Linked DNA regions of Xenopus tropicalis. The protein of the gene in region 2 interacts with the protein of the main gene of each other region in a pairwise test. Links are inferred from orthologs where the notes say so. Each region holds a gene or a part of one and is shown on either strand. Other genes may lie near its edges.

Evidence for each region. The genes of interacting proteins can lie anywhere in the genome.
Region 1: the proteins of usp54 (region 2) and atxn1l interact in binary tests that used the Homo sapiens proteins (3 or more experiments, as listed by UniProt). The link is inferred for Xenopus tropicalis from reciprocal best matches to the Homo sapiens genes USP54 and ATXN1L.

The regions. Positions count from the first base shown.
Region 1 is NC_030680.2:59,918,724-59,922,750, forward strand, and holds the start of atxn1l (ataxin-1-like), read left to right. Parts: upstream 1-1,227; 5' UTR 1,228-1,475; intron 1,476-1,500; exon of another isoform or gene 1,501-1,572; intron 1,573-2,906; 5' UTR 2,907-3,021; coding exon 3,022-4,027. UniProt on the Homo sapiens protein: Chromatin-binding factor that repress Notch signaling in the absence of Notch intracellular domain by acting as a CBF1 corepressor. Binds to the HEY promoter and might assist, along with NCOR2, RBPJ-mediated repression.
Region 2 is NC_030683.2:44,369,352-44,372,851, reverse strand, and holds part of usp54 (inactive ubiquitin carboxyl-terminal hydrolase 54), read right to left. Parts: intron 1,664-3,500; coding exon 1,474-1,663; intron 1,006-1,473; coding exon 1-1,005.

The sequences.
Region 1 (4,027 bases), on a different chromosome or scaffold from region 2:
CATGTACATACAGTAACTAGGAGCCACTCAAGATTAAACTTCACGTTGGCTATACAGAACCCCATGGGTAACTGTGGTGGTACCTAAAGACTCAGCACACTCTCAGTCCTGTGTAGCTGTGAATGAGACAGCTATGTAGGGGAAAGAACATGTACACAGCGCAGCAACTGACGGCAGGGGACCTGGTAATCCAAGTGCAGCACAGCCAGGCCCCCCCCCCCCTTAAAATCCAAAACCCTTGGGGCCCAAAACAACTGCCCCCACCCCGATCTTGATGGCAGCCCTGCATTAGCACAAAATTATATGTTCTTGCAACTATATACAGAGTATTAGTAGACTGTGCCTTTTCCAAGAAAATCAATAAGTTAATATAGAGTGCTATTCTAATTTGCAATTGGTCATTTTTTATTATTGGTAGGTTCTTAATTATTTTACTTTTTGTTCGGCAGCTCTGCAGTTTGGCATTTAAGCAATTATCTGGTTGCTAGGGTGCAATTACCTTAGTAACCAGGGAGTGGTTTGAAAGAGTTACTGATATATGAATAGTAGAGGGCCTGAATAGATAGATTAAAAAAAGTAACAATAAATTTGTAACTTTGCAGAGCAATAGTTTTTTGGGCTGCTGGGGTCAATGGCCATTTTGAAAGCTGGAAAGAGGCAGAAGGTGGCAAATAATACAAAATAAAAAAAATGAAGACCAACTAAAAAGTTGCTTAGAAGTGGCCATTCTAGAACATATTAAAAGTTAACTTAAAGGTAAACAACCCCTTCAAGTGCCAGACTATAATACATTACCTTCCTGTAAGAAGCTTTTGGGCTGGCAGGACCTCACATATAGGGCTCTTTTATATAGAATTCTAAATCGCTGCTATTTATAATCCCTAACGCCGGGCCCTCTGTGCTTGCTGGGCCCATATTTAAGAAGTAGGTGGGTATGAATAATGTAAGCCTCTAGTAAAGCATCTGGGTCACAATAAACTAGGCTGGCTGAGGACTCTGTCTACACACTAAAAACTTATATATGCCAGGCTGTATTTCTCAAGCAATATATAGTTCAACATTGCACGTTAAAGTGCTGTTCATCTTGACGGTATACAAGAGGCTCCTCTTTTCCAGTTCGCTGGCACAAGTAAGCAACTCTTAGCAGCACAAAAAAATACATAACTTCGGTAGAAACTGGGTGGTAATGGCGAAAAATAAACAAGAAAACAAGAAAATATTTTCTGGTTCTTTTCATGTCCTCAACAAACGTAGGAGGTGCGACCAAAGGAAAAATAGATTTCAATTGAACCTCCAACAACTTGCAGTGTCCGACTGGGTTACACCGGCTCGTCACTTCCACTAGGCGGATACGTGATGCGTCATCGCGCTTACGTTTAGTCCTGACGCTAGTCTCGCGTGATGAGACTTGTGGCTTTGGGATTTGCTGTAAGACAGGAGGCTAGGAGCCTGCAGTTAACAGTTTTACGGGAGGTGTAAGTAGCGATACGGGACTGCGGGCTGCGCTTGGGAACTCGGGACTGCTGGGCTGTTTTACGGAATGCGGGGGACTATTTGGCAGTATAAAGCAGAGTAGGGCAAAGAACATTCAGGCGCCGTAGCAACCTAAATAGCTCCCGAACTCTGCAGCTCACTGACAGCAGGGGGGCCGGTATCCAAGTAGGTGTAGCACTGCCGGCCCCCACCTTAATGCTCAAAACCCGCTGGTCTAGGACGACTCCCCCCCCCCCCCCCCCCCCCTCTCCTTGGCGGCCTTGACAGGAGCCAGTAGACTAGAATAATATCTACATTTAGCGTGTTCAGTAGAATTGTTAAACATTTTGCAACACAATAATAAAATAAGAGCTGCCCACTCTTTCTGCCCGAATGTCTTTTTTAACGATGGGTTGAAGGTGGAGTTGCCCTTAAACAGAAGTTTGAATAGATCCTCTTTGAAAACATATCGTGTGTATAATTTATAGCAGAGTTAAATATTTATTGGTTTCCCCTGTGAGTGGGGAGGGCGTTAGTTTTGTGTGTTTGTGCGCAGTGGCTTGATACAGAAAAACCTTTGCTTTGTGTTGTATTTGTAATTTTATAAATGCATATTAGTCTTAGCATTGCAGAAAAATACTTTAAAATTGTCCTTAGTATATCAAATGGGGTAGGCTGCTTGTGAGAACCTGAATCCCAAATGCAAATGTATTTATATGCCTAGGTCGGTGCTATCCAACGTTTTACTTGTAAATTAAATTGTATTTGAAAGCAGTTTTTGTCTGCACTTTGCTGTTCCCTTCTGATTACAAAATAAATGTATCAAATCAGGTCTCCTCTTTGCACTCTTCTATTATTCTCCTTTTCAGATATGTTACAGAACATGAAAAGAAGGGAATAGAAAAGACAGCCATACACTGTAAGATCGACTCAAGGTCTCCAAAAAAAGCAGAACTTTTTCCTAATATATTCACCTTGGGGTGGGCGATATTAGATTTATCTGATCATTTGGCCTGAGGGCCAAACAATTGGATCACATTGATGGGATATAGACTGTTGGCATGAGGGCTGTGGGGAGCGCTTATTGCAGTTTATTGCTTCTTGAATATTGTTCTGTTATCATTTGTCGGTCACTATAAGTTGTCTTATTGATCCTGACATTATTGTGGTGGTGCAGTGACAGGGAAGAGTTTACTGAGGTCTAGAAACCAATAGCAGCTGCATCAGTGTTTCTCATGTTTTTCATGCTGTAACGGAACATTGAGTGCTACCTGTTGGTTGGATGTTATGGGTTACTAGATCTAGGAAAATGTTGTTCTTGTTACTATATATAGGCCTATAATTTGTATTTTTCTAGATTTGCTATTTTCATTTGTTTTATTCTAGTGTCTCTTATGCTAATCACTAATCTAATTAGATTCCCTTTTGTTTAGCTCTTAGAGTTTACAAGACATCCAAGGGATGTAAATGGAGTTATCAGAGGTTATTCCTGTGAGGCATCAATGAAGTTAATAAACTACAGAGATCCCAGGCAGAGTAGGAGACAATATGAAGCCTGCACATGAGAGGAGCCAGGAATGTCTTCCACCAAAGAAACGGGATCTGTCACAAAACAGTGTAAATGTGGAGGAGGAACCCAAGGTACCTGGCTCATCTGCTAATGAAAGTACAACAAGTGAAGCTTCAGGATGGCCGAGGAGTGTGTATGTGGCAGCAGGACAGGGACATGGAGTTAGTTATGAAGCTGCGGGGGAGGAAGCAGAAGCTGTAACTGTGGATCAGTATGCAACGTTTTACAAAGTTGCAGTGCCTGCTGCCTCCTTTTCCCCACCTGGTCTCCATCCTGTGATGAATATGAGCTCCATCCCATCATCCTTTAATGTAGCTTCTCCTTTGATACAGCACCCAGGTATTACTTATCCACCTATTCATTATGCTCCAATTCCACATACTGCTGTGCAGTTCCTTGGTTCCCCCTACGCAGTTCCATATACAGTTCCACCAGGCTTTCTTTCTCGAGCAGTGATATCACCTCCTGCCAACTTAGCTGCTTCTCATGTCCCTCACTATGTGCCATATAATTCTGTCCTTGTTGAGGGTGTGACTCCACCCTCAGAGGCTCAGTCTCCCCACTCCATAAGCAAACTTAACACTGCACAGTCTCCTTCAGTCCTAATGGGGGTGGTGCCAGTGGATGTTGCAAAGGGAAGAGTGCCTGTATTCTATCAGCATTCCTCTCAGCTGCCAGTAGCCTATCCTGTGAACGAAATGCTTCTGGCATGCCATTCTAACACAGAACTTTGTGCTCCTCCCCATGCGGGTAAAGACAGAGATATTCCAATCACTTCTACAAATGGGACACAAAGGATGCCTGATCATGTCTCTGGCCATAGGCCCAGTAAAGTAGTAGACCTTTACAGCCAAAATGCAGAGGAACAGCTTGGAAGGGGGCAAGAAAATATGGTGGATGGTGATGTTTACACAGGACTGGCAACACAAAGGACAGAGGCTTCTTTGCTAACCCACAGGAGCACCCCAGACACAGATTTGGAAG
Region 2 (3,500 bases):
TGGTTATCAACAAGATGTATACTGGAACCCTTTATGTCAAAAGACCTGCCCAGGCAGTCTGGTGAGAGGTCTATCTGTTCTGTGCAGCTAGCTTTGTTTTCATGAATTACAAGGGGCTGCAAACTGGATTTATTATCCAAAGGACTGAAAGATTGCTGTTCTGGCAGTGGCTTTTTCTCACCAATATCAACACCAGTACAGTTTACACCAAAATTGTTTAGTTTTGGTGAGCCCCCCTGGAGCCTTTGAAACTGTTCTGCTAGAGAGCGTACTAACCCCTTATTCTTTGGTGCCTCAGATTTGCAAGGTTCTGGACCGCAAAGTTCACCTTGCTTGTCTAATAATGCCTCATGACTATTTGCACTTGAGCACAAGTTGGCTTGTTGAAGGCTGAGGCTGGTGTTACCAGGTGGAGTGATGTCATTACAGGAACCCATCTGTTTATTACTTTCACCAGTTTCAGTACTAACACATTTGTCTGTGCTAACAGATTTATTACAATGACTGGGTGGGTTGCTTCTATCAGGAGACTGAGTCTGTGTTCGGCGTGCCCACGGAAATAGCAATGATGGTAAAGAACCAGATTTAATCCCACTTAGTTTCACCTTATGCAATGTTAGAAGGCCTTCTTTTCCTTCATTTTCCTCTCCCACCTTACATTTATCAGGGCTGACATTCTTTACCCTTTCTGTTTTTGTTTGTTCATTTACTAGGCCTTGGCTATAAGCTTCTGATTTCACCTTATTCTCAAACACTGCTTCCTTTGGAGATGAGACAAGACCTTCAGAATCGAGACTGTTATATGGAGCCAGAAAGTTAGAAAACGCTTTGCTATGTGGGCTTTGCTCAGAAGCTGACAAGTTGGAAGACTCAGAGGACAATGGAAGCAACTCATGGCTACAAGCTAACGGGTGGAATAATGGATTGGATGGGTAGTCCTCCTTTGTGTTGGTCTCCAGCATTACCGGTCTGTTCACTGGAACTTGTTCCGAGATAGCCTGGTCACTAAAAATTAAACATTTTTGACACGTTATTAGCAACTAAAATATATGAGTTATAAGTTGTAAACAAAGGCTTCCATTATGCAATCAGAAGATCTCTGTACACAATGCAGCAGACACCATAACATTAACACTGAATTTAAGCGGCTCCAGCTTAAAAAAATGTAACATTTAAATGGACCAAGCAACGGCAAAATGCAGCATAATAATCAGGCTTCTCTACTGTATCAATTTGAGAGGCTAGTGACTTTTTGTTATCAGCATAGACTGCGTTATTTGGAAGAGTAACTGCAGTAAGGTTACCAAGGTAGCCAACCTTTTGAATATGTAATATATTTCAACAAGAGGTGTATAGTAAATATTTCTTGATGGTAGGCTTAAATAAGATCATTTCTGTTTTGACCTTTAAATACAGAAATCAAAGAATAATTCACTAGTCCATGCCTAGTTAAGGAAGTTACACAGCAGCTACCTTGTAGATTGGTTTATAGCTTCCCCCTGTGGCAAGGGGTAATCTGGTGATGGCGGCTGAGGAATTGTCGGCAGCTGCATGCGGTCCTGAAGACTCCGTGCTTTTCGTATGCACATTTGCAACTTCTTATCTGCTATGGCTCTGCAGTGAGTGCTAGATCTGGCATCATGCATGGCAAATCTGATTTTAGCTAAAATGCAAAAGAAAACATAGCAGAAACAAATGCAGCACACACAAAAAGAAGAAAAAAAAAATCGGATGCAGAAAGGAGCATAACATGAACACATGCACTACAGAAAAACAAAACAAATAATGTTTTTCAGTTGATTAACAACAAACATTTATGTATGCAGCGAATGCATCCTAAAATGTTGCTTGAACCAGCCTTATGAATGTAAAACAAGCTGGGGTGGGAACAGTCTCCATATTATCTCTGTGACCTGTCCTAAAATCAGGTTTTTTTTTTGGTGGGGGTGGCGGATTTCAAGAGATGGCCAATGAAATGTTATTAAAAAAAACCCACAACCACCCAATAATAGTTAGATTAGCAAAGGAAGCTTTGGAGAAAACTAAGACTCATAAGATTTTAAGTGTGTGACCTGTGCCTAACAAAGTGGCTTGCTACCTATGAACTTCAGAATGATGCATTCAGTGCACAGACACTGAACTGGGGTTATGCTGTATTGTAATGTAAAGATTCTCAAAATAAGCTACACCTTAAATGTGGAAAGTCACAAGCCAGCAAATCAAAATGCTTCTATAAGCCAGTATGATAAGAAGAAATCTCTGAAGGGTTACATATGACTCTGAAACGAGGTGCACACATCCACTTTATTTAGCAACAGGGATAGTGACTCCTTTAATAAATAGCCTATAAATGTCACCAATCACAGCAGAGTCCTGTCTACTGATAGTAAAACAAGGTCTTGTTTGAACAAATTTAGATGACATTTCTCAGATAGGATCAAGCAGTTTAGTATAGTTAGGAGAAAATTATCTGTGAGACAGTTTCCTATTTACTGTATGTAAAACCTTACTAAGGTTCAATATCTGTACATAGGTTTTAACCTATGATTTTGAATAAAATGGCTCCTCATGAGAGCAAGGACAATAGTTAGTAGCTACTGAGATCGTTATCTGTGGCCCAGTTTCCATGTCAACTTCTGTGCATAGCATCTCCCCTTGTTTCCAGATTAAATGGATCTGATTCTCTAGTGACAGCAAACAGAACAGATGGCAGCCATCACTTTCTGCGTCCTTGTTCACTGCTGATAGAGTTACTTAAAGAAAGTTGTTTAGAACAAGCGAATTGCACTTTAGCCAATGCCAATTCTTTGCTGACCTAATTCTCCTTATTGACATTTATGGTTTCTGCCAACAGTGTAATGAATATAAAAAAAAAATTACAAAAAAAAACACTCCCGAACTTTGTAAATATGTTGATTAGCTTTTTTGTAATGCATTATTTATGGGACTGTATGCACTAATTCATGACAGCAATGAAGTTTATAAATATAGGTATTTGACTTATTTTACAGCAACTTTTTCAGCATAAAATATTGTACACAACTGGAGTGAGTCAAAAAAGCAAATAATAATATATATGTATATGTATATATATATATATGACCTAGTTTTATTATTCTTATGACATTGATCATTGCTCCTTTTACCAGGGTCAGCTGCACTATAAGTTGCAATAAGTTATGCAACCCATAACTTACCTTTTAGGTTTTTTTTAGCGTGGCCCTCTTTCACCAAGCCAAGCACATTTGTACTAGACCTTTTACACAGGAGTGCTGCACTGCAAATACAATTTGCCTTGGAAGAATGGGTGGAGAAGTGCCTAGATGACAGAAGACTGCTAGACTTTAAGGCACAGCAGCCCAATATCATAAGATTAAATCCATATCAACTTATGGGCTTTAACTGCCTGAATAATTAAACTAAACTAGCAATTAGGTGTTATTGGGCATATTTGTGTCATTCAGCCATATTTCACATTTATATTTAAAAACACACAAGAA